3 linked regions of the Rhinolophus ferrumequinum genome follow. The protein of the gene in region 3 interacts with the protein of the main gene of each other region in a pairwise test. Links are inferred from orthologs where the notes say so. Each region holds a gene or a part of one and is shown on either strand. Other genes may lie near its edges.

The links.
Region 1: the proteins of BCL2L2 (region 3) and KASH5 interact in binary tests that used the Homo sapiens proteins (3 or more experiments, as listed by UniProt). The two-hybrid records come from large-scale screens. The link is inferred for Rhinolophus ferrumequinum from reciprocal best matches to the Homo sapiens genes BCL2L2 and KASH5.
Region 2: the proteins of BCL2L2 (region 3) and BMF interact in binary tests that used the Homo sapiens proteins (3 or more experiments, as listed by UniProt). The two-hybrid records come from large-scale screens. The link is inferred for Rhinolophus ferrumequinum from reciprocal best matches to the Homo sapiens genes BCL2L2 and BMF.

The regions. Positions count from the first base shown.
Region 1 is NC_046298.1:44,556,695-44,564,171, forward strand, and holds the start of KASH5 (protein KASH5), read left to right. Parts: upstream 1-4,463; 5' UTR 4,464-4,544; intron 4,545-6,696; 5' UTR 6,697-6,791; coding exon 6,792-6,834; intron 6,835-7,477. Other genes in the region: DKKL1 (dickkopf-like protein 1), read left to right, coding at 2,246-2,557. UniProt on the Homo sapiens protein: As a component of the LINC (LInker of Nucleoskeleton and Cytoskeleton) complex, involved in the connection between the nuclear lamina and the cytoskeleton.
Region 2 is NC_046289.1:64,881,009-64,888,838, forward strand, and holds the start of BMF (bcl-2-modifying factor), read left to right. Parts: upstream 1-4,746; 5' UTR 4,747-5,783; coding exon 5,784-5,910; intron 5,911-6,580; exon of another isoform or gene 6,581-6,819; coding exon of another isoform or gene 6,820-6,841; coding exon 6,842-7,138; intron 7,139-7,830. UniProt on the Homo sapiens protein: May play a role in apoptosis. Isoform 1 seems to be the main initiator.
Region 3 is NC_046289.1:73,759,144-73,767,168, forward strand, and holds the start of BCL2L2 (bcl-2-like protein 2), read left to right. Parts: upstream 1-4,940; 5' UTR 4,941-5,145; intron 5,146-5,243; coding exon of another isoform or gene 5,244-5,660; exon of another isoform or gene 5,661-7,203; intron 7,204-8,025. Other genes in the region: PPP1R3E (protein phosphatase 1 regulatory subunit 3E), read right to left, coding at 4,518-4,940, 5,244-5,660. UniProt on the Homo sapiens protein: Promotes cell survival. Blocks dexamethasone-induced apoptosis. Mediates survival of postmitotic Sertoli cells by suppressing death-promoting activity of BAX.

The sequences.
Region 1 (7,477 bases), on a different chromosome or scaffold from region 3:
CCCACCCCCTCTGTGTGGGACTTCCTCTCTCTGGGCCTCAGTTTTGTCGTCTGTCAAAAGGGACTAACCAGCTCTCAGTAATGAGGTATACAACCTTAGAGTACATCCCTCCACTCGCTTAGTAAACCCCAGAGGGTTTTGTAAACCAAGAAGTGCTTTTAATTCCAAGTGCTTGGTGCACTTCACCCTCACAAACCTCAAAGTGTTTTTATCTCAAAATACTCTGCAAACCTTTAAATATTTTTTTAATCTATCCCAAAGTGGTAAATCTCCCCCTTGTAAACTTCAAAATGTGATTTTTAATTCCAAAGTGCTTTATGAACCCCAAATGCTTTGTGTCTCTCACCTTCGTAAACCTTTCAGTGACTCTAACCCCAAAGTGCTTGCTTTTTTATCCTAAAAATTTTTAAGAACTGCCAAGTGCTTGACAAACCCATATGGTTCACACACACACACACACACACACACACACACACATACACACCCCGTTTTTTATTTTTTAAATTTCAAATCTACAGAAAAGTTGGGGGAAAAATGTACTATAAGCATATCTGTATTCTCTTTTTCACGGAGCAGGGTTTCTCAACCTTGGCACCATTGTCATTTGTGGGCTGGATAATATTTGTTTTATTTGTACATGGGGCCATCCTTTGCACTGTCAAATGTTTAGCAGCATCCCTGCTTCTCCCCATTAGAGGGAAGTACCACCCCCACCCTGGCCAGTTGTTACAACCAAAAATGTCTCCAGACTTTGGTTGAGAACCACTGGCCTCGCTTCACCACTTGTTAGCATTTTACCACACTTACTTTATTTTTACTTTTGTATTTTTGAACCATATGACAATAAGCTATTGACAACCTGACACTTCACCCCTAAATCCTTCAGCAGATATCTCCTAAGAAGAATGCCTTCTCCCACATGACCACAGTACCATTTTTACACCCAAGAAGTTTAATATCGATGTCAAGCTATTATCTCTGTATTTGTTTGGGAGGGCTGCTATCACAAAGTACCACACAGACTGGGTGGCTTAAATAACAGGAACTTTTTGTCTCATGGTTCTAGAAGCTACGTGTCCAAGATCAAAGTCAGCTCCTTGTGAGAGCTGTGAGGGCGGGTCCTTCTCCTACCGTGTAGTGTTTTGCTCACAGTCCTTGGGGACCCTTTGTGTGTAGATGCATCGCCTCCATCTCTGCTTCATCTTCATGACGTTCTCCCTGTCTGCGCTTCTGTGTCCAAATTTCCCCTGTGCATAAGGACACCAGCCATACTAGATTAGAAGCCACCCTGATGACCTCATCCTAACTAATTAAATCTGTAATGACACTATTTCCAAATACCCTGTTTCCCTGAAAATAAGACCTAGCTGGGCCATCAGCTCTAATGTGTCTTTTGGAGCAAAAATTAATATAGGACCCGGTATTATATTTATTATATTATATTAAGACCCGGTCTTATAGTAAAATAAGACTGGGTCTTACTATAATTTTTGCTCCAAAAGACGCATTAGAGTTGATGGTCTGGCTAGGTCTTATTTTTAGGGAAATACGATAAAATCACAGTTTGAGGTCCTGGGGGTTAGAAATTCAACATATGAATGGGGAGAGGCACAGTTCAACCTATAAGAATCTCCTACAGGACTTCTCAGACCTCAACTTATTAAAATGCAGACTCTGATTCAGTAGGTCTGAGTGGGCTGCAGCCCATAATTTACATATATAACAAGCTCTCAGATGACACTGGTCCACAGCCCACACTTTGAGCAGCAAGGACCAAACAGACCATATTCAAATATCCCTACTGGCCCCAAAGCTCTCTGTAAGGCTGATTTGATTTTGGACCAGGATTCAATCAAGGAGCACATGTAGCAATTGTGGTTATGCTTCTTTAGTAAAGCCAAGAGCTTTTAATCCCGAAGTGCTTTGTACATTTCAAACTGCTTTCCAAACCTCAGAGTATGTTTAATCCTGAAGTGCTTTGTAATCCCAACCGGCATTTTAAACCCCAAAGTGCTTTTGAAACCTCCAAAGCATTTTTTTCAATCCCAAAGTAGTCCATAAACCTCAGAGTATTTTTGAATCCAAAAGCGCTTATTAATCCAAGTGCTTTGTAAACTGCAAACTGAGTTTTTAACTCCCAAAATGGCCTGTAGGTGACAAAGTGAATGGAATATGCCAGTGGGGTCTGAGCATCCTGAGGTTGTCATTTAGAGTTTGAGAGGGTCTCCTTGTCCCTCTTTCCCAGGTACCCAAGACAGAGGACAAGGAAGCCCTGGTGCCTGTCCCAAAGGCCATGGACAGCTTCCACCCGGAGCCCCATTCCCGAGTGGCCTTCTGGATCATGAAGCTGCCACAACGAAGGTCCCACCAAGGTGCCCAGGAGGGTGGCCACTGGCTCAGCGAGAAGCGACACCGCCTGCAGGCCATCCGGGACGGGCTCCGTGAAGGGACCCGAGAAGACGTCCTTGAAGAGGGGACCCAAGGTTCCTCCCACTCCAAGTTGCCTGCCCGAAACACCCACTTCCTATACATTCTCAGGCCCTCCCAGCAGCTATAGGGGTGGGAACAGGGGAACACCTGCATATACCCCCACTAGACCCTACCCCAAGGATCATATGGAAATAAAGTTTCTTCTTACAGCTAGCTGCACTGTCTCCTTTCAGGATATGTCTCCAAACCTCAGCCGACCAGGCCATCACAAGTTTCGACAATAAAAAGATAACTAGACAGTCATAAAATGTTTGGAAATGAAGCAATATACCACTAAAATAATGCGCAGGTCAAATTAGTAAATATTTTGAACTGAATAATAATGGAAAGGTGGCATAAACTTGTGGAATATAGCTCAAGAATGTCTCAGCAAATTATGGCCTTAAATGCATATATTACAAAGATTAAATATCAATAATCTAAAAATATCACTGATCTAAGCACTCAAGACAGCTATAAAAGTTTAATTGAGCTATAACTTAAGATTTAGCACTTTATGTATGTTACCATTACACTATAAACTTCTTAAAAAAAATTTTCAGGGATTACAAAATTACCCAGACCTCAAAAAAGGAAGAAACAAGAAATATGGAAGGAATAAACTGACATAATACCATTATACTAATAAATTATGTTAATAAAATTAATGGGGTCCACCACATGCCAGCCTGTGCTAAGAAAACACTTGGCAAACATTCTTATTGAACTCTCGTAAGACATCATGAGGTGGATATTTTTTGTCCCCATTTTAGAGAAGAAGCTGATATTTAGAAATGTGAAGTCGCTTGCCAAAGTCACACAGCAATGGCACTAGGTTTGTCCGATTCAATATCTCTTTTAACCACTCACCACGTCACCTGCCAAACAGGATTTTTCCCGGGCCTTGTAACAAGCCACCATTAATAGCCAAAATAATAACTATCAATTATTAATAACAAGGATTACCACCTTAAGTCCTCAAGGTGACCTAAGAAGCAATTATCTTCATTTCTGGAAGGAAAACAGGCTTAGAGAGGGTAAACCATTGTACCAAGGTCACAGCTAGAAAGTGGTGGAGCCAAAATTCAAACCTAAGAATATCTGACTCCAGGCCCACCACCTTGTCATCACGCTACACTGCCCAGTACTTAAGAGGCATGGATTCAGTCCCTTCAACTTTTTCTTTTGTTTAGCGTCCACACCAAGCCAGGCATGTTCTAGCCCCAAAACAGTCTCCTACTGCACACAGGTCACATTCCAGTGGGGGTGACAGTAGACAAATATAGAATATGTCACGTTTTGAGACGTTCCATGAGGACCACTAAAAAGTGGATAGTGTGGGCTAGCAGAGAGGTTGAGTGGGTGGGACCGCGTTTGTCCCAAATGCTCTTCCTTGGGAGGATCTTCAATTTTGGATGTAATTCTCTTCCTCTCTCCAGCCAGAAAAGCGAGAATATTTTCTCCGCACTCTCTCCTAAAAGGAGTAAATGAAACAGTTTGGGGAAGAATCCTTCGGGGACTTATTAATACATCTTAACTGGAGCTACAAAAGGGCGCGGGAGTGGTGAGGCAGGACAGGACAAGACATCATTGTGATGGTGAGGGGCAGACTGTCATGTCACGGAACAGATGGCATCACGAGCACGGCTTAGTAGCTGATAAGAAGTGGGGATGAACAAGGGGTCTCTCAAGCCAATTCTCCCTTGCTTGGGCCTATTTCACCGAATCTTGGGGCCGCAGAGAAGACCCCAGCACAGGGGACGTAGCCGCCTCCTCCCTTAATCCTGCCAGCCTTCACCTGCTTGGCCAACACGCATGCGCCCGCTCCACGGGTCTGGGCGCGCGCTGGGGAAGTCCTACGCATGCGCAACTTCGCAGTTGCAGGTACCGGCCCAACTAGCGCGCCCCTTCCTCCGATGTGCGCCTGCGCTGAGGGAGGGGCCCAGACGCGCAGGGGTTTAGACGTCAAGCGCGCTCTCGGTCCCGCCCCCTCCCTTTGCTTTTCCGGTGGGAATAGCGCGCTGGCACCTTTTCCTGGGCAACTGCCGTTCGTCGTCCGTGGCCCTCGGCCTCAGGTGCGCTCTGACTGTAGCGAGGTTCCCCAGATTAGCTCTGTCAAAACCCCTCCCGAAATCCTGGCAAAGCCCCCAAATTATAGGGCAGGGTCCCCAGTATCAGGGGTCTCCTTAAAAGTCCTGAAATCCTGACTAAATCCCCTCAGAAATACTGAAAGGAAGCTACCAGGAGATCTTATAGAAGATCCTCGAAATTTTGTCAGAATCTTCTAGAAATTCTGTCAGTCTTCTCCCTCAGTCTTCTCCCTGCCCTAGACCTCCCCAAAATCCCGTTACGCTCCCTCCCCAAATCCTATCAAACCCCCCAAGTCCAGAAATCTTGTGGAACCCACAAAAATTGTTAGATTCCCCCTCTCAAATATCCGAGACCTGAAATCCACTCATACATCCCCCAGAAAGCTCGTCAGATTCCCCAGAAATCCAGAAACTCAGAGATCCAGTGGGAGATCCTCTTGAAAACCAGTCAGAGACCCAGAAATCCAGTCAGAGACTCCCTAAGTTCCAGATCCCCCTTCAAAAGCCCCAGAATTCCTGCCTGGGTCCTCCTGCTAGAATCTCCCGCTCAGAGGCCCCTGAGGTTGACCAGAGCATCTTAGTCCCTCACCAGGAGTGTGTCCCCCACACCCTGTCAGAAGCTCCCAGTGCCTCTCAGCACCCTCAAAGGGACCCTTCTCCACTCAGGCCCCAGGGCCATCCACCCCCTTCTGCGCGCCCCAGCAGTATCCAAACCCTGGAAGGGTCTCGTTTCAAAGACCGTTTTTTCTAGGATGTTCTAAACGTCGCCAGGAAGTGTGCCCTCCACAGCAGTGGACCCATCTGGCGCCCGGGGAGCAGGGTGTGGGGAGTAGGTGGTGAGGACAGGAGGGCTGAGCAGGTGGGATGAGGACGGGCAGGTCCCCGGCCGCCCTGTGTTGACCGTTTGCCCCAGCGTACTCAAGTGTGATGGGCACTATTGTCCAGTGTAATTATTAAATCGCACCCCTTTCACTCTTGAAAGTATCCTGGAGTTGGGGCAAGAAGTCTTATGGTCAACCTGGTTATAATGGAGGCAGGACAGGACACGGTTGGGGCACAGAGGAGGGAATCCCTAATTGCTCCGAGGACTCCGGAAGCCTCCCCAGGGAACTGGGGGCCAAAGCAGGGGCCACAAGTGGAGACGGTGTGTGTGGTATGTTCTGGGCCTGGGAGGACCATGGGAAGATGCTAAATGCCCACGGTCGGGATGAGGGCGAGGGGCCTGGAGGTCAGCCAGTGGAGAGAAAAGTGATTTAAAAAATAAAAAGCAAGGAGTTGCAGGGACTATTCTGTGCCACACTAGCCAGAGGAGCTAGGCCTTAGTGCTGAGGGCACTAGGGAGCCATGGGAGGGCTGCGAACAGGGGAGCGATGGGCTCAAACTCGCGTCAGAGGCCGACAGTTCCAAATACGGGCTGACAGTAGCCCCGGGCAGTGAGGGACCCCACAGACAAATGTTCAGAAACATTTCCCAGAGGAGGGGACTTGCGAGCTGAGACAGGAAGGACTGGGAAGTAGGGTGTTCCAGAGGTGGGAACAGGGAGCCTGGCTTGGGGAGCAGCGCACAGTTCAGAGTTGCTGGAGCAGCAAGTGTGGTTTGGGGTAGAGAGGCAGGCGGGGCCAGGCCATGCCGGGCCTTCGCCAGGTCCAGGGTCGAGGCTTTGTCCCTGGGATGCTAGGGAGCCATGGAAGAGTATTGAACAGGGGAGGGGCAGGTCAGCTCTGGGGCCCGGTGGGGATGGACAAAAGTGGGAGACTGGAGGCTGGGAGGCCAGAAAGCAGGCTGGCATGAGGGCCCGGGGAAGAGGGCGAGGCCTGAGCCAGGGCCCTAGGAAAGGAGAGGAGGGGACGGGGTAGAGTCATTGGGGTGGAGGGACAGGGCTGGGGACTTGACAAGCTGTGGAGAGGAGGCAGTGACCCCCACTCATTAGGCCCCCTTTGATCTGTGCCACTCACTCCTCCAGCCCCCCTTTGCCAGCCCCCACCGCCAATCCATTAAGTAGGTCTGAGCCAGAGCTGCTGTGATGGAGGCAGGGGTGGGCAAACAGGTTCTGAGAGCCCAGAGCAGCCTGGGGCACAGGTGGGTCCCCAACTTGGGGTGGCTGGTCTGAGGAGGTCATTCCCCTGCTCTCCTCCAGGAGCTCTCCAGGCAGCTGGTCCGTTTTCCGTCCTTCCCAGTGATGGAGGGAGGCTGTTAGCATCAGCAGCAGCTGCAGAGCGAGGAGGGTGTCCCATGGACCTGCCAGAGAGCCTGGAAGGCAGCCCTGCTACAAAAAGTAGGTGGCTGGGCCCCCGTTTGCCCCGTGGGAGGATGCGGGAGCCGTGGGTGAAGAGGCGCCAGGCTGTGACTTGGAAGAAGTGGCTTGGGGTGGCTGAGGCTCCGCCTTGGTGCAGGGTAGGAGGGAAGGAACCTGCTGTGTGCCTACCTGTCTGGCCCCTTGTCCCCTTTCCTCTGAGGAGGCCAGAGCAGAAGCCTGTGCCTGTTGTGTCCCCTGCCTGGAGCACCCTTTCCCGGTGACCCACGGGCTCACCCGTCTTCATTCAGCTCTCATCTCTCTGTAGCGCAGCTGCCCTGTCACTCTCTCCTCTTTCCCGCTTTACATCTCTTCATAGCACTGACACTGGTTTGTCTGGCTGTTCAGTCTCCGTCTCCCCCACTAGAGCAGGAGCTCCACCAGGCAGCTATTTATTCACTCTGGTCTTTCCAGTTCTCAGAGCAGCACTGTCTGACGCACGAGCTGTATATGTAATTTTAAATTTTGTTAACAGGCACATTTAAAAGAAAAAAGAAACAGGCAAAATGTATGGCAATAATAGTTTTGATTTAACCTAAAGTAGAAAGGTAGTATCCTTTCAGCGTATAATCAGTATAAACATGTATTGGAGATATTCTCTTTTTTCTTACAAGTCTTCAAGATC
Region 2 (7,830 bases), about 8.9 Mb from region 3:
TCCAGATTTCTGAATTCCCAAACGTTTTATCTTCAGTACCTGCTTTTTCTATTTTCTTTGACTGGAAATCAAGTCTCTGTACTTGTTTATCCAATTAGCAGAAGCCAATCTGTCTGTCCTGCTATCTTCTCTCTCTCTCTCTCTCTCTCTCTCTCTCTCTCTCTCTCTCTCTCTCTCTCTCTCTCTCTCTCTCTCACACACACACACACACACACACACACACACACACACACCTCTGCAACTCAGAAGAGAGGGACTATTGCTTTGCAGGCAGATGGACTGATGCACAAAGAGATAAATTCCTTCTGTTAGAACAAGTCCAGTGTGGGAAGGACACCAAGCTTTCCAGGTTCTGGTCTTTCTTACATTCAGGATCTCTCCTGGAGGGAGTTAAGAGGCAAGGCAATCAAGCACTATGGGCTCTCCCTCCAAGACCCCCACCTTACCCATAAATCAGTTTCCAATCTAACCCCTCCCTGGGGGTTGAGTTACAAACCTCAGTAACCCCAGGGCGGCCTGCCTGGTAATTCCTATTATTCAGCTGTCAGCTGGTTTTTTAAAAACCTCCCTTCCCAGTGATCTAGTTACTGGAGTTTTAGAGCTCATTCCTTGTCTCAGAGAGAAATCCTATAGCCAGGTGAAACAATGGAGAGGGCTCCTGCCTGCTGTCTACAGGGAGCTGGGTTTTCTCTTCTGTTCAAAGTGCTCCCCTTAACTCTTTGTGTCCCTCCCAGATTGTGGGGGAAGGTCTGCCTCCCTCTCAGGCCTGCAGGCTGATGCCGATGCCGTTCAGAGCAACTTTGCCTTTCTCTGTGGACCCTCCTTCTAGAGCCAGCATCAGTCAGCAGAGGAAAAAACAAATTGGGGCAAGGGGTGGGAAGAGAAAGAGGGAAAGGAAATTCTCCACAAGAAAGGCTGCTTGGGCTGCAATGTGTGTTTGCCCTGAGCCCAGTCAAAAGCTCAGGGTTCGTCCGTTCCTAGGGTGCTGTTGTTAGACAGGGGGCTCAGAGCCCAGCTTGCCAGTCCCGCAGGTCCTGACACTGCTGAGTCTGCCCTATGCTAGAAGGGAAGAAAGGGCACAGGGGGAGGGGCCTGCTTTGACAGTGGTGAGAGGTGGGGAGTGAGGATCCTGACCTCCCTGACCCCTTTATCCCTGACAGTCTTTACTGGTCCCTCTGGCTCAGAAGGCTGGGCCCCTGCTGCTTGACCTTAGAGGCTGAGCGCACAGGAGGCCAAGCCACCAGGTGTCCTTTAGAACCAGCCTGAGGGAACAGCCTGGGAAAGCCTGGGAGAGAAGTCTTAGAAGAAATGTCCCTAGAGGGTGTGCCCCTCCCTCTATCTTGCAAACTGCCCAGACCCACTAAGATGATTCCCCTTTACTCCCCAGCCCCATTTCCCTGCAATGGTGATTTTTAACCTTTTATAGGATCACAGACCCCTTTAGGAAACTGTTGTAAGCTACAGAGCCACCCCCCTCCAAAAATGCGTGAACCCACAAACACAATTTAGCCAGTTTCAGGGGTTGACAGACTCTAAAGCTGAGGAGACCCTGGTGAGTCTGGAGAATACATGGATCCCAGGTACTGTATTTCCCCGAAAATAAGACCTAGCTGGACCATCAGTTCTAATGTGACTTTTAGAGCAAAAATTAATATAAGAACCGGTATTACATTATATTATTATATTATACCTGGTATTATATTATATTATATTATATTACAATATTATATTATATTATATTATATTATATTATATTATATTATACGACCCAGTCTTATATTATAGTAAAATAAGACCTGGTCTTATATTACTTTTTGCTCCAAAAGATGCATTGGAGCTGATGGTCCGGCTACTTCTTATTTTCAGGGAAATGCGGTAAAAACCCTGCTGTACCAGCTTCCTTGCGCTGTGGACCCCAATTCCACCTTACAGGGCTGTGATGAAGCAGACAGTGCTTTAGCAGCTCCGGTGGGTCAGGAGAATTAGGGTGACCCCTGCACCCCCCTCCCTAGGGCCGATGGGGTGGGCGGGGAAGGGCAGAGGACAAATTCAGAGCTACTTTGTCTTTCAGTGCCACTTTTGACCCAAAGTAATTCCCATGTTCATCGCTGGCCAGCGTGAGACACTGGCCCAGGAGGAAAGCTAATAAGGATGGAAAGAAGGAGGGGAGGGAGAACTCTGTGTGGTGAACATGGCGAGGGCTCCCCAGAGCCCTGCACAGAGGCTGGGGGTTTTGTCTCCTCATCTGCCCACATGTGGCATGAGTGCTCGGTCACTCTGACCAGTTCTGACACTCCCTCTTGGCCAAGCCTCCTGGTAATGTACCTCCTTTTGGCTCCCATACCTTTTTCTGGATATCTGTCAACTCTTAGGGGGTAGGGTGGGCGGGGACTGGGATGCTAGCCAACTTTGACTCTCCCTTCTTTCCCTTTTCCCTCTTCTCCCTCCTTTGGGGATAGTGTTTTCTTACTCTAGCAACCACAGCTCTCAAAATGCCTGCTTCGCTCTCTTTTAGCTGCCCTTTGAGGGAGCTAGGGGAAAGAATGGGTAGGGAAAAGATACAAGGTGACTTCAGGCTCCTCTGGGCTAAGGGTCCCAACGCTACTGAAATCTGTCTGAGTTTCTCACCCAGAGATAGCGGGTTGGTGGTCAGAGGACAGCCAGTCCCCACCACCCCTGGAGTCTGGCCCCCATCATTGATCACTTCGTTTGTTGCAGGAACTGGCTCCCTCTCACTGATTTCTGGCCTCTTCATTTGTCTTTCCTAAAATTCAGTCTTGGTTAAGTCACTCATAAAATCTTTCCTGGCTCCCCTGTGCCTCCAGAATAAAGTGCATTTCCTCAGCCTGGCATTGTAGAGATACCTCTGTACTCTGACCTGAATCTACCTGTCCTTGCTCACCCTTCTTAACTCCCAGTGTGTACTTAGTAATCCTGTCCTCTCACCTGCTCCCGGGCAGATTCTCCAGTTCAGGACATTATTCTGCTGCCCCTAGCCTGGGCTGTTTCACCTGGTTTTTCTTATTGAAAAATTTCTCCTTCAAGGGTCCTTCAAGACCCTACTCAAAAGCCATCTCCCTGAAGCCTTCCCTAGTCTTTGCCTTCTGAATTTTTCTGCATCTCCCATTAGTCATTATCCCAGAAATTAATGCATTTCATACTGCTTTCCATTATTTTCAAGTCTACCTCTCCAAGTAGATTGTCAGCTTCCTGAGAGCAGGTACCAAGTTTTTGGCACCTGTATCTGGCACAATGTAGGTGCTCAATAAATGTTTGGGCCTAGCGCAGAGATTCCCTTACTGATGGTATATGATTTGCGGGACCCATTGCTCTCCTGGCAGCCCCAGCACTCTCTCTGGAGGCTGCCATAAACAGGATGTGTGTCAACTGCCCAAGCAGCGCCTGCATTCTTGATCTCTTCTCTCCTCAAACAGATGCCTATTTTGTGTTCACGCCCAGTCAAGAAGAGGACATGAGGGTTCCTTTGGATGAGTTTGATCTGAATGTCACTGAGTAACAGCACCGGACATACGTGTTCTCATGCTTCCTACAGATCTGGGGCTGGAGTTTTCTCCAGACCCGCTCCGCAAGCGGGAGGGTGCTTTGCTACCTTGCCGGGATCCGCAGGGACCCGCACTTGCAACCACTGGACATTGCCAGTCGCGTTTAAAAGCTCCCGCTCTCCTCCTCCCCTCCCTTTAGGGACGCGCAGTATTTATTCAGCCTATTCCCGAGAAAGAGAAGACAAGTCACTTTGGCGCCTCCTTGTTCGCTCCTAATGGAGAGGGCTGTGCTTCCCTAGCCTGCATTAGGAACCGAGTCTGCGAGGGCAACGGCGCACCAATTGCGTTTCTGGCGGGGGTCAGAATTTTGCTCGGCCCCTTGCAATGTTTCCAAGGGGAGGTTCGTAGATTCGTGACTGTCCCTGGCAGTCGCCCAGCCCGGGACTTGGGGCTCCACTCATCATTGGCCAGCGGTAGGCGTGACGCGCCGGAGGCGGGGCCTCATCAGCTGTTTGCGGGATGCCCCGAGCGGGCGTATTTTGGAAACAATACCGCGCGGTGCGGAGTGGCCTCCTCCCGGGCGCGCCCGGCCGCTGCCGCTGCGTCCCCTGCTCGCTCCTCCCGCCTCCCACTTCTCGCCGCAGCCGGGTGAGCGCCCGGGCGGCCGGGAGCCGGGCGGAGTTGGATCGCACCTCCTCGGGGAAGTGGGGAGAGGAGTCGCGCTGCGCGTGGGGGCCCGGGAAGGGTTGGGCTGCAGGCGTGTGGGGTGACCATGAAGTACTGGGGCGCTGGGCTGCGGGAACGGGGTGAAGAACCCACATCTAGGTGCGCTGCTCCACCAGGCAACTTAGGGGTAGTAGCATTTGAGAGTCCGAGGAGTTGGGTCCAGGTGGGCAGGGGAACCTGCAGTGCACTGCTGAGCCGACCTAGGCGCCCGAGATCGGCCGGGCCTCTGGATCTTACTTTGGGGTAGGGCAGGGAGTCGTGGGGCATCCTGCCTCCCTGCGGAGTTTGAAGGCTCCTCTCCTTAACAGCTGGGCTTTTTCCCTCCTTCCCAATTGAGTCTGGGCGCCAAGCCCCCGAGTGCTCGTCACGCTGGACCCTGGCGCGGAGCCCTGGCATCACGACTCGGAGGCCGAGACTCTCTCCTGGAGTCACCCAGGTCGGCGGTGTGTTGTGTGAGTGCGTGAGTGTGTGTGTGTGTGTGTGTGTGTGTGTGTGTGTGAGAGAGAGAGAGAGAGAGAGAGAGAGAGAGAGAGAGAGAGAGAGAGAGACCAGATTTTAGCCCTTGTCGAAGTTCAGAGTATCTGGCTACTGCCTTCTCCGAGGAGGAGTCTAAGTTCAGCATCCCTGTTAAGAGTCCTTAGGGGCTGGGATGGCTCCGGCGAGCTTTAGTCCCCCTTGCTAGCAATATAGCCTACCCTGGCCGTGCTCTCAGCAAGTGTTCCCCTCCTACCAGTTTGGACATCACCCCTTTTGCTCAGGTCAGTTTACACTTGACCTTGCCCAGCACCCCACTGGAAGCGCCCACCTGCAGTTCCTGTGGAGAGTGGGACGGGTCCCCGTCCGCCCCCCCCACCCCCTCCCGCCGTGGCAGAGCCACACCCTCTGGCTGCACCTCCCCCACCGTCCAGTCCAGGCTTGGGGTTGAACTTTGGGGCTTTGCTGGGAGGGGGATGGGGAGGTGACGGGCTTCAAAGGAAGAACCAAGACAATGACTCCTGCTTGTGATTGGCTTTGGAGGGTCCCTTCTTACGTTGGGATCGCCAGCTTGCTGAGAGGAGGTTGAAGGGCTGGAGGGGAGCCCCTGCCAGTGACTGGCAGGACAGCCTTTCCTTTAAGCGGGAAACTTTGTTTCCTGGTGCTGATAAGCTGGAGTTCTCCCACCCCACGCCTCCTTTGGGAAACACTATTGAAAGAACACCAGGTGCCTGTTTTGCCATCCAAGTAGGCATCTCCTCACTCTCCAGGGATGAGGGCAGAGATAGGACCATAGATAGTTCCAGGAATAGATGGGATGGAGGGGGTTGAAACAAGCACCTCAGAGACAGCTTGCATTTAGGAAAGCCAGGATTTCTGAATTTAACCGGGATTTCTTTAAGTACTTTACCAACCCACAGACCCTTTGGCTTGCTCTTCAAAGGCAAGAGACTGGGAGACAGAATTCCCAGGGAATCTAATAGAATCTGGCAGTGACAAACATTGTCTCTCTGTATCCTTAACCTATTCAGGTGGTTGTTGCTTCTGGCTGCCCCAGGGGCCTTGAGGGGTTCCTAGTGTATGTGTGTAGGGGTCTGGGTTCGGATCTCAAGATGCTGGATGGCTCCAAGCTCAGACTTCCAAGAGCCAACAAGTGGAGCAAGAACTTCTTTATTACCAAGAAACTCATCAACAACCTGTATAGCCAGTGAGTGAGGTCACGGAGAAAGGGCTGAATTTCACTTCCTTCTGTGAGGCAGGTTGTACCAATCCCAGGTTCAGCACTGGCAGGAATGGTAGGCTGGCTATGGTGAAGGATTTAAAGTCACGGAGACTAGTGAATAGACTGAGCTGGGGGAGGCTGGTCACTTTGCTGAATGCTGGACCTACCCTCTTGGCCAAGCTGTGGTGGGTAGACAGCTCTATCTGAGAGGGCAGCTGCAATGACTAATTTGGGTCTTTCTCCCTTCTCTCTCCCAGGACACCCTTACCACACCAAGGAGTCTGTTTGTTGTGTTGAGCAAGCAGGGGGTGGAGACTAGAGTAGATGGGCAGGTGGGCGGGACTTAGCAGGTTTGGAGGGAACCTGGCTGCCCTATGATTGCTGGCTGGCTTTTGTTTTTACTGCTGAGCCTGGAGCTCAGCTCAGACTTGGTGGTTACTCCCCAGGGCAGTGGTGGGGGGGGGGGGGGAGAGGGAGGGAGAGAAAGGAGAGAGAGAGAGAAAGAGAGAGAGAGAGTTAGTTAGTTGTGAGTATTTTGTGTACAGCCAGTCACAGCACCCTTCTGCCCTCCCACAGCCACTCAGAGAGGCTAGCCTTGTTAACATTTCCCCAGGTACCCTGTATGCATGAAGCAAACTTCATGACTGACCAGCTGGGTCAGAAGAAGAGGCCGAGGGGAGGGTAGCTGTGAGTGGGCCCAGGAAAGTGGTGCTGCAAGTCCCTGACTGAACAGTGAGGCAGTCCAGATTTGGGGATGGATGTCACCCTTGGCTGTGCTTTACCACCAGGGTCATCTGTCACTAGTACCTGCCCCCACTTCCCCAGATAAGAAGGGAGACCAGGGAAGAAGGTGGGGGAGGCCCAGGGTTGGCCTGGGTGGGGACAGCATCCTGGATGCCTTATTATGCCCTAACAGGGGAGATGGAGCCGCCTCAGTGTGTGGAAGAGCTGGAGGATGATGTGTTTCAGCCAGAGGATGGGGATCTGGGGACCCAGCCTGGGAGCTTGCCCTCTGCTGACCTGTTTGCTCAGAGCCAGCTGGACTGCCCCCTCAGCCGTCTGCAGCTCTTCCCTCTCACCCACTGCTGTGGCCCTGGGCTGCGACCCACCAGCCAGGAAGACAAGGCCACCCAGACGCTCAGTCCAGCCTCCCCAAGCCAGGGTGTCATGCTGCCTTGTGGGGTGACTGAGGAACCCCAGCGACTCTTTTATGGTGAGTGCTCTTAGCCTCAAGACTCCTCCCATAGAGACTGGGGGAAAAGAGGGGACTTTCCCTCCCCAAACCTGCCCTTTGTTATTTCCTTCCCCAAATTGAGCAGCAGAGGCTATTGATTGCCCAGCTCTCACCTCCTACCTTTTAGCTTGTCATTGCTCCTTACCTGTGCTCCTCAGGCCCCAAGAAGGGCAAATTGCCCTGCCATTATTTCCTTTCTTTTGTCCCTTTCTGGAGGGATCATTGGTCCCTGGTGTCTCCTCTGGGGTTGGAGAAAGGGCACCTGGATCCTGTAGCCCATTGAGTGGCCCAGACTTGTGCCCTGGTGGTGATGCACCTTCCGTACGGTGACTAATGTTGTCCTGGAGAAGGTTGGATCTGTGACTCGCTGTTGACACTGAAGGGAAAAACCCAGCCCCTTCTGGGAGGGAAGGTTCCTAAAGGCAGAAGGTGACCCCCAATTGTCACTTGGGACTTTCTGTACTTGGAAGGGGAACTGGAGAAAGAGGTTGGGACTTCCTGGGCTCAATGCCAGCACAGGGGCTGATTCCAAGGCTCAATAGGACAAGACCCTTTCATTAGTCGGCTTAAGTGGTTTGTTTTATGAGCAATATGCCGTCCTCTGGCAAAAGGGCAGGGTTAGACACTCAGTCTGTTTTCTTCTTTTAGCATAATAGCTTATGGAGAGAGGG
Region 3 (8,025 bases):
CTTCTCTCCAGTGCTTAAGGAGCATAATGTAACTTAGATGGCCCCCTTAAGGAAGAACCCCCACCAACGGGGAAACTAGGGGCTTCTACCCAAGCTCTTCCCTTTAACTACACCAGCAACTGGTGCTGGGTGCCAGGGAACTAAATCGCTGGGCCCTGGTAACTTTCCCTACCATTACCCCAAATGGTGGTGGGATCTTGTGGAGTGTCTTATACCAGGGCTGCCCAACTCCTCCATGTTTCCTTCCCACTCAACGTTTGCGTATCCAGAGGACTCCAGTAACAGGGAATAGGACCTTTAAGAAATGAAATGACCAAGAAATGGGGGGTATGAGGGAAGAACCTTGTCGCTGGGTCTTTTGCCACCCTTAGCCCAAAACAAACAATACTTCAATATCCGATGATATACATTCTTTTCATATTTCAACTTTATTTCAAACATGAGGTGTTTTATCCAGAAGGGAGAGCAGGTACATAAGGCAGCTGAAGTGAGGCACAGTACTAGCGGGTCTGGGGCCCAGTGAACAGGGCTGCACTATGAAGGGGGTGAGGAAGCTCTGGGAGGGCCTGAGTTCTCCAGGTCTGCTATTCAATGGGTGGATTATTCAGTGTTTTCAGCAACTTCATTTTTCTTTAGCAATATCACCAAAGAAGTGCCACGGCTGGGGACACACAAAAAACTACCAGTCCCTTTTGTTTTTCCTTATGCCTAGATGGGGAAGGGAATGGAAACTAGTAGCAAAAATGAAACATTTCTGATGTTATCCTTTGCCATGAAAAATGGGGGGATCTAACTGTGCAAAGCCCTATTTTGTACCCTGGAAATGGGATGTGGTCAGGAGGCCTAGGTTAGCCCCATCTCAAGCTGCACTGAAAAATCATCTGACCCTGTTGGGAGTCACTTCTCATCTTTGGATCTGTGTCCTTACTCGTGGAGGATCCAGTGATCTCTAAAGACAAGCCTTCCCAGGTCTGATTCTATGACATGTGGATTACAAGAATCCAGAGGACCTCCAGAGAAACACAGGAGTTAGTAGCAAGGAATGTGGGAGTTAGATTGGAAAGTTGAGGGGTTAAGGGTTATGCTGAAGAGAAATGATGAACTACATTCATAACGAGAAACAAAGGAAATGAAGGAAGGCTATCAGACCTCTGAGGTCTGGATGAGAGGAAGGGCAACAGTGCTCCTGCTGTGTTGCTTCAAGGACCCAAGCCCGGCCACGGTCATGGTTTCTCATGGCACTTCCGACTCCACAGCTCACGTTATACCCTAAATTGCTCCTGTTCATCGAGTCATCAGCCTTTAGAGGCAAGTCCCTACCACAATGCCTAACACAACACATCCCTGCAGATTCCCCCAAATTCCTATTGTTTACCTTATCAGATTAGGCTGTCAGCTCACCCCAAGGCCCTGGAGCAGCACTATATGAGAACCAGAAGACTTATGTGTTGGGTCTGTAAAGCTGAGAACGGGGGGCATGAGTGAGCCACAGTATTTCTTACAGAGAAAGAGCTCAGGGAACAATGGATTATCCTTGGTTCCCTGCTTCCAACCAGCTTGCATTTCTCCACTCAGTAATGCCAGGACTCTCAGAGACGGCCAGAGCACAGAGCATCCAGTCCTAGTTGGGGAGCTTTCTAGGAGAAAGTTTAGGCAATTGGCCTGTTCAAGGCTAGTGGTGGGTATGGGAAGGGGGTGGCACACCAATAGGTTGGAGGGTTGACTAAGGCCAGGGGAGAATCCCATTGTATGGAAAGGCTATAGTTCAAATGGGTTCCAAGTTCTCTAGCAGGCAGGCGAGTTAGTCCCTTGCTGATTCTTCAGATCTGGGACACTGGCATAGGAGACAGCAAGCTCCAAAAGGAGCAGATGAAGTTTGGGACCCTCAGTGCATTGCCTTCTCCAAGCCACTTGGGGAGACTGGGAGGATGGGAAGACAGAGCACTATTATAAACTGTGTTATTTTCCTAATAAGATGATATATGGCAAGGTTTTTAATGGAAAAAATATGTAACATCATGTTTATGCACTGGAGCTCTGGAGATTTTTTGGGTTCACAATCCTAGCTCTGCCTGTACTAGCTATATGATCTTGAACAAACTACTGAGTTTTTCTGAGCTGTTCCCTCTTCTCTAAAACAGGGATGATATTACTCAACTCCTGGGGTTATTTTGAAGATTATAATGCAAGCAAGATACCAGATTTAGTGGGTAAGTAAATGTGAGCTATTATGATTGTTAATACAACATAACAGTAATGCACACACATTAAGCAAGATTACTACACCCTGAGCCTTGACCCAGTCTCCCTCTCCATCATCCTCCCTTGGGCTCTTCACTGATAACTAAGTGCATTGCTTGGTGGCTTCCAATACAGTTTCATTCTTCACTCTGCTGGAACTTTGACCCGAAGGTGATCCATAAGATGTATGAAATTGTTTTCACCAGGTAAGAATGATGTTTAAATGGCCCTTTGTTTGAGGAATGACTCAGAGTTCCTCTTTTTCAGGCATCTTTCTTCAAAGGATTAAGGCTTTAGGTAGGATGGGCATGGTAACAAACCCCATACTCTATTCTGAATGCTTGTACAGGTACACCTGATGCACTCTCTCACTTACTGATAAGGAAGAAGGGGATCCAGACATTTTTCTTTGAGAAATCAGTAACAGATATAAAGGGGTGGGGAGCTGGTTACCTGGGAGCTCCTTGTTCATTTGCATCAGGAACTGCTTCTTTTCCCTCTTCTCCCTTCTAGAAGACTGTTAAGGAGGAGCCTGAAGGAGGAAGGTGGATCTACCATGGTCTTGGAGAAAAGCAAGTAGGTTCTCCACCCCTTCTGGAGGGACAAGGAATAGCACAGATCAACAAAAATGAGAAGGAAGCAATTGGAAATAGAGAAAATGAAGGTAAGTACTCTATTATGCTAAAAGAAAAATGGAAGTGAAAAGAGAGGGACAAGAGAAAAGCAGAGCTTAGGAATAGGGTAAGAGGGGGGGGGAAAACCCCAACAACTAGCAGAGGTTAACCAGGAGAGACATATGGCATGAATGTGTAGGGGTAAGAGTCCAGCTTTCCCATTTCACTTGCTCAGGATATGGAGCACACTGCCATCTTCTGGTGCCATTTAATTTTCAAGTTGTTTTGATTCTTGAAGTGCTTTCTATTTCTTATACACGTAATCCCATATCCTCACAAGTTCCCCAACATTATTTCCTTTCATCTTTGGGACTCCCAATCATCATTTCCCCCAAGAGACCTTCCAAAAGCTGTCTCAGAGCATCCAGGCTGGAAGTCTGTGAGGGCCAGAGCAAAAAGCAAGAGGCAGAGGATGAGCTGTGGTTTGAAAGAAGCCTTAATACCCAGAAGCTGCAGGCTGGTTTGGGGAGGCTTCCTGGCCTTGGAACATTTGTGTCAAAAACTGGAGGACCCATCCTCAGCCCCAACCAAACACTCGGGGTGCTGTGCATTCTGAACTGTAGCACTCCAACTGTAGGGTGGAGAACGTGGCTTCTAATCTACACTCTGCTACTCACAGATCATAAAATGTCAAAGCAAGAAAGGGCCAAAAGAGATCACCTAAACCAAATCCAATTTACCCAGGAGGAAACGGGGGCCCAGGAAGGTGAAGGAACTTGCCCAAAATTATACAGCTAGTCAGTGACTTCCTAGTCTTGAGCAGAATCAGAATAGTGATTCTTGTGATTCACAGTCCGTTGATAAATACAGTCCATAAAGTGCTTAGAGGTCATTAGAAGGCACCCAGAACAATAAGGCTGGCATTTTTCTGGAAGCCCCTGAGTGTAGCAACCCATTAGCCGCCGCGTTATTTGGCTACAAGCACAAGTCTGGAGTTGGTTTTGTCTTCATTTACACACCCCCAGGGCTGCAAAGAGGCTGGAGGAGGGAGCTCTGACTACTATCTCCCATCACTCCCCATCCAGTTCTCCAATACCCAAGCCAGGGACTGTCAGGGGTGACAAGGGAATCCTGTCATAATGCCAGGGATTGGGGAGCAATGGCCAGTTTCTGGGATTTCAGCAAGGCAACTATAGCTGAGTTAAAGCTAGGATGGACAGGGTTGGGGGACCTGAGATGGCAAAGGTAGATAAGGGAAAGAGCCAGCAATCTAAATGACTTCAACTGAGGGGGCTGCTACTTCACGCAACACACCAGCTCAGCCCCAGAGGGCTGCCCTAACCTTCCACTGCCTAGGCCCGCCGAACTTTCTCCCAGTGCCTGCTCACGGAAGAGAACGTCACCATACTCCTTAGTTTTCGCTTTTTTCGAATCCTCCTAGCGCCCTTTCGGGTCTCCTTTCTCCGGTACCTTGGGTTCCGTCTACTCACATCTAATCGGTGTTTTCCACCCCTATCTCCCCGACCTTCGCTGATTCCACCCACTCCCCAAACCCCTTTGATGTCTCCCGCACTTGACTCTCTCGGACAGCAGCCCGCCAAATCTTTGGGCACCCCTAGCCCCCAGGTGCCTTTGGTTTTTTCACCGTCGGCCGCAGGCGTCTCAGATAAAGTGAATCCAGCCCTGAGGCTCCGGGGTTCCAATACTGCCCGGGTGCTCGGGCCCACGTAGAGCATAGTCACGGCCGCCGTTGTTGTCCCAGAACTCGTGGCCTGTCACGCGGTAGCGCAAGGCGAAAAGCAGGGCGCCCCCAACGGGCGGCGCGGGCAGGCGAAAGGCGAAGCGGTCCGCGCGTGGAGGGGGCGGAGCCGGGCCGGCGTAGGCCGCGGGCGCCTCGCGTTGGCTCCGCCACCCGTCGGCGCTCCAGCGCACGCTCACGCGCTTCTCGTAGGCCAGGTCCAGCACGCGCGCGCTCCCGGCCACGCCCAGCGGGCCCGCCTCGGCGCGTTCCAGGCAGATACGCTGCGCCTGCAAGCGGGCGGCGAAGCCGGGCTCGCTGGCCGGCTCCAGGGCGGCGCGCGCCTCCTGGGGACGAAAGAGGGAGAGGGAGCACCGAGCCCTGGCGAAGGGAGGGCAGAGAGGGGCGGGGTCATAGCGAGTAATTGGACCAATCCGACGCCGACCCCGAAGTCCGGGCCCTCAGAGTGCGGCCAAGCTGCGAGAGTGGCCGATAGCCCCTCGCCAATGGGAGCCCCAAAAGGGACGTGCAAGAGCAATCCCGGGGGTGGAGGTGGATATGGGTATTCCTTGATTAATCCACTCCCCCATGCCCGCCGCGGTCGAAATGGGGAGGTCCAGGGAGAGGGCGTGCGTGCACCTGCCGCCTACCTGGAGGCCGCGGGCGCGGGGCTGGCACGGCGCGAAGTGGCGGAGGGCGTCCCTCTGCAGCTGGATCTGCACGTGGCGGGGCACCCGGGGCAGCTCTCCAGGGCGGAAGCGGCGCACGGCGGCCAGCTCCAGCCCCAACGCGTCGGCGAAACGCACTCTTTTACGGGTATCGGGGCTGCGGCTGCGAGGCGCCCGGGCACCGCCGCCTCCGGCGGGTGCGGAGCGAGCCCGGCGGCCCCGACTCGGAATGTGAGCGCGCGATCTGGCCCCGAGGCGCGTCCCGCCCTCGCCTGGCTCCTCCTCCGGCTCCTCCTCGAGGCTGGGCCGCAGGCTGCGGTAGTAGGCGCGCTCAGTCAGCGCGGCGATGAAACTCAGGTTGCGGGGGATGTCGGTGCGGGGGGGCCGCTCTCGAGACATGGCATCCCCCGCCCCGGCAGGGCCCGCCCGCAGCGCCGCCTCTGTGACCTCGCTCCGAATGGCCCACTCGCCTGCGTCCACGCAGAAGCCGCCGGCCCGCTTCAACCGCCCCTCGCAGTTGCGTACTCTCCTTGCTTTCACTTCCAGGATCCTCCACCTCCCGTAGTTCTGCTTTGCCTTGGTGACTACCTTTCCTTCCCTCTTGCCGTCAGCTTCCAGGGTCTTAGACGATCACCTCCTGTCTCCTGCTAGCTGTCTGCTCTGAGCGTGCGCTCAGCAGCACACATCCTCGGGTCTCGCGGCCGTCGCGGCCCAGGCCCCCGCCCACAGCCCTCTGACAGGTGGCTCCCATCTGTCTGCGTTGCTGCACTAGGGGGCGGGGACTCCACCCTTTCCGTCCTGGGTGAGACCCTCTGCCCTTTTAAATTTTTTTTAACGACCTCAACCTTTTTGGCATGGGATGAGTTAATGAAGGATGTAAAGAGTAACATTTCCTTTTCTTGCAGGGGAAGGTTCAAAGCGCTCAGTGTGTGACTTTCTCTGCAGGGCTCACTGTTGTCTAAACTCTAGTTTACAGGTTTTGGTGAGGGGGGGCGTTGCAAAGAAGGGAAGGTCATGAAAACTAGGCAGAATCCCAAATAAAAACAGACGCGGCCCACAAGGGTGGGTGGCCCATTGGAAAAAGTTCTGAACTAAAAGTCGTGGAAAGACAAAGCTTCTGGTCTCACTTCTGGTGCTAGTTAGCGGTGTAATCTTGAGCAAGGCACAACTTCTCTGTAACCTCAGTTTTCTCATCTGTAAAAAAATGGGTTCGAATTCTGATCTCTAACCTGACTAAGCCGTTTGAGGACAGAGCATGTGTCTGATAGTTCATAACAGTAGTAGGCCTTTAAATTATCGAATGAATGAACACACCACACTCTTGGAGCTGGGACTATAGGGTTCTAGTTCCAGTGGGAGGTTCCAAGAAGGGCACAGGGCCGGTGTTTTTCTTCATTTTTTCCTACTTTAGTGAAAAGAGCATGTGAAGTTTTGTTTATTTTTTTTTTCTACTTCCCACTGATCTTATATAGCACTTATAGTTGTAATAGTTTTACAAACATTAACTCATACCGTGCAGCCATCATAGGAGCAGGGAGTCTTATTATGGCTATTTTTACAGATGAGAAAATTGATGGAGAGAGGGACTAAGACTCTTGCCCAAGGTCACATAAGATAATAATTAGGGAGCTGGGATTAGAACCTCAGCAGTCCACCTCTGGAGTCCACTCTCTTATTTACTTGTTTATGTAAGATTAAAACAGTTAATGGTAATAGTTAACATTTTCAGAGTATTGAAGTGGGGAGTCTTAGAATAGAAATGGAATCTCTAAATTTAAAACAGCAGGAGAGTTTAACTGTAAATAGTGACTAAGTTGGAAATAAACAGGGAGACGTATACTACCTTATTATTGTAGAATTCATTCCTGTTTGCATTTTAACTTTAGTATTAACTATAACAATACTGTCAAGCCAGGACTGATTTTTAAAGTGATTCAATTTTATTTTTTTATTTAATAGGTATGTGTATAACCCATGGAATATTCTTTTTATATCTTAGGGTATAAAATAATGTTACACTACTTTGTTTTACAGTCAAGCAGTTTAAAACTGTCTTCCTTGCTCTGGTAAAATATGTCATTAACGAAATAGATAAGGTTCAAGGTTAGCCTATGTGGCGTGAAGTTTTCTGGTAAAAACTCTGTTGCCTTGTCTACTGTTGAGCTGCCATTCCTTGGCTCTGTGGTGTTGGTTTGAGAAGATCCTTGAGGTACACAGCTTTGGACCTGATGTAATTTGTGTTGGTCCAGCACCTTGTTCTCCTGGCAGCTCAGACTGACATTGAACCTTTATTCCAAATCAGTCTTTGTTTCTTAAACAGCCACTGCAGTTATCTTCAAACATCTGACTGGGCCTGCTTAATAACTGCCAGAGGCATTGACTGATTCATTCAGTCAACATTTACTGAAGTTCTGTTAGGACTTGAGGACATAAAAGTGAATAGACTTCAGTTCCTGCTCTCACAGAGCTTATAAATAAATGGCGGGCAGACAGAAATATATTTGGACCCTGAGACTTAAAAATATTTTTATTTCAATTAAATGTCTTAGAAGAAATATTGCAAATGAAGAACTAGACTAGGTTATTCTCAAAAGAAGGCAGCAACCTTGCTGGTAGAAGCAGGAATGATCAGCCTAAGAGCAAAGAAGAAATGAGGATGGTTGAAAGGATACAGTCATAAAAGAGTAGAATAGGCTGTGCATTCAGAATTCAATGGAGAACTGAGTTTGTGCTTGTAAATGGCATGGATTCAGTTTGGACTTGT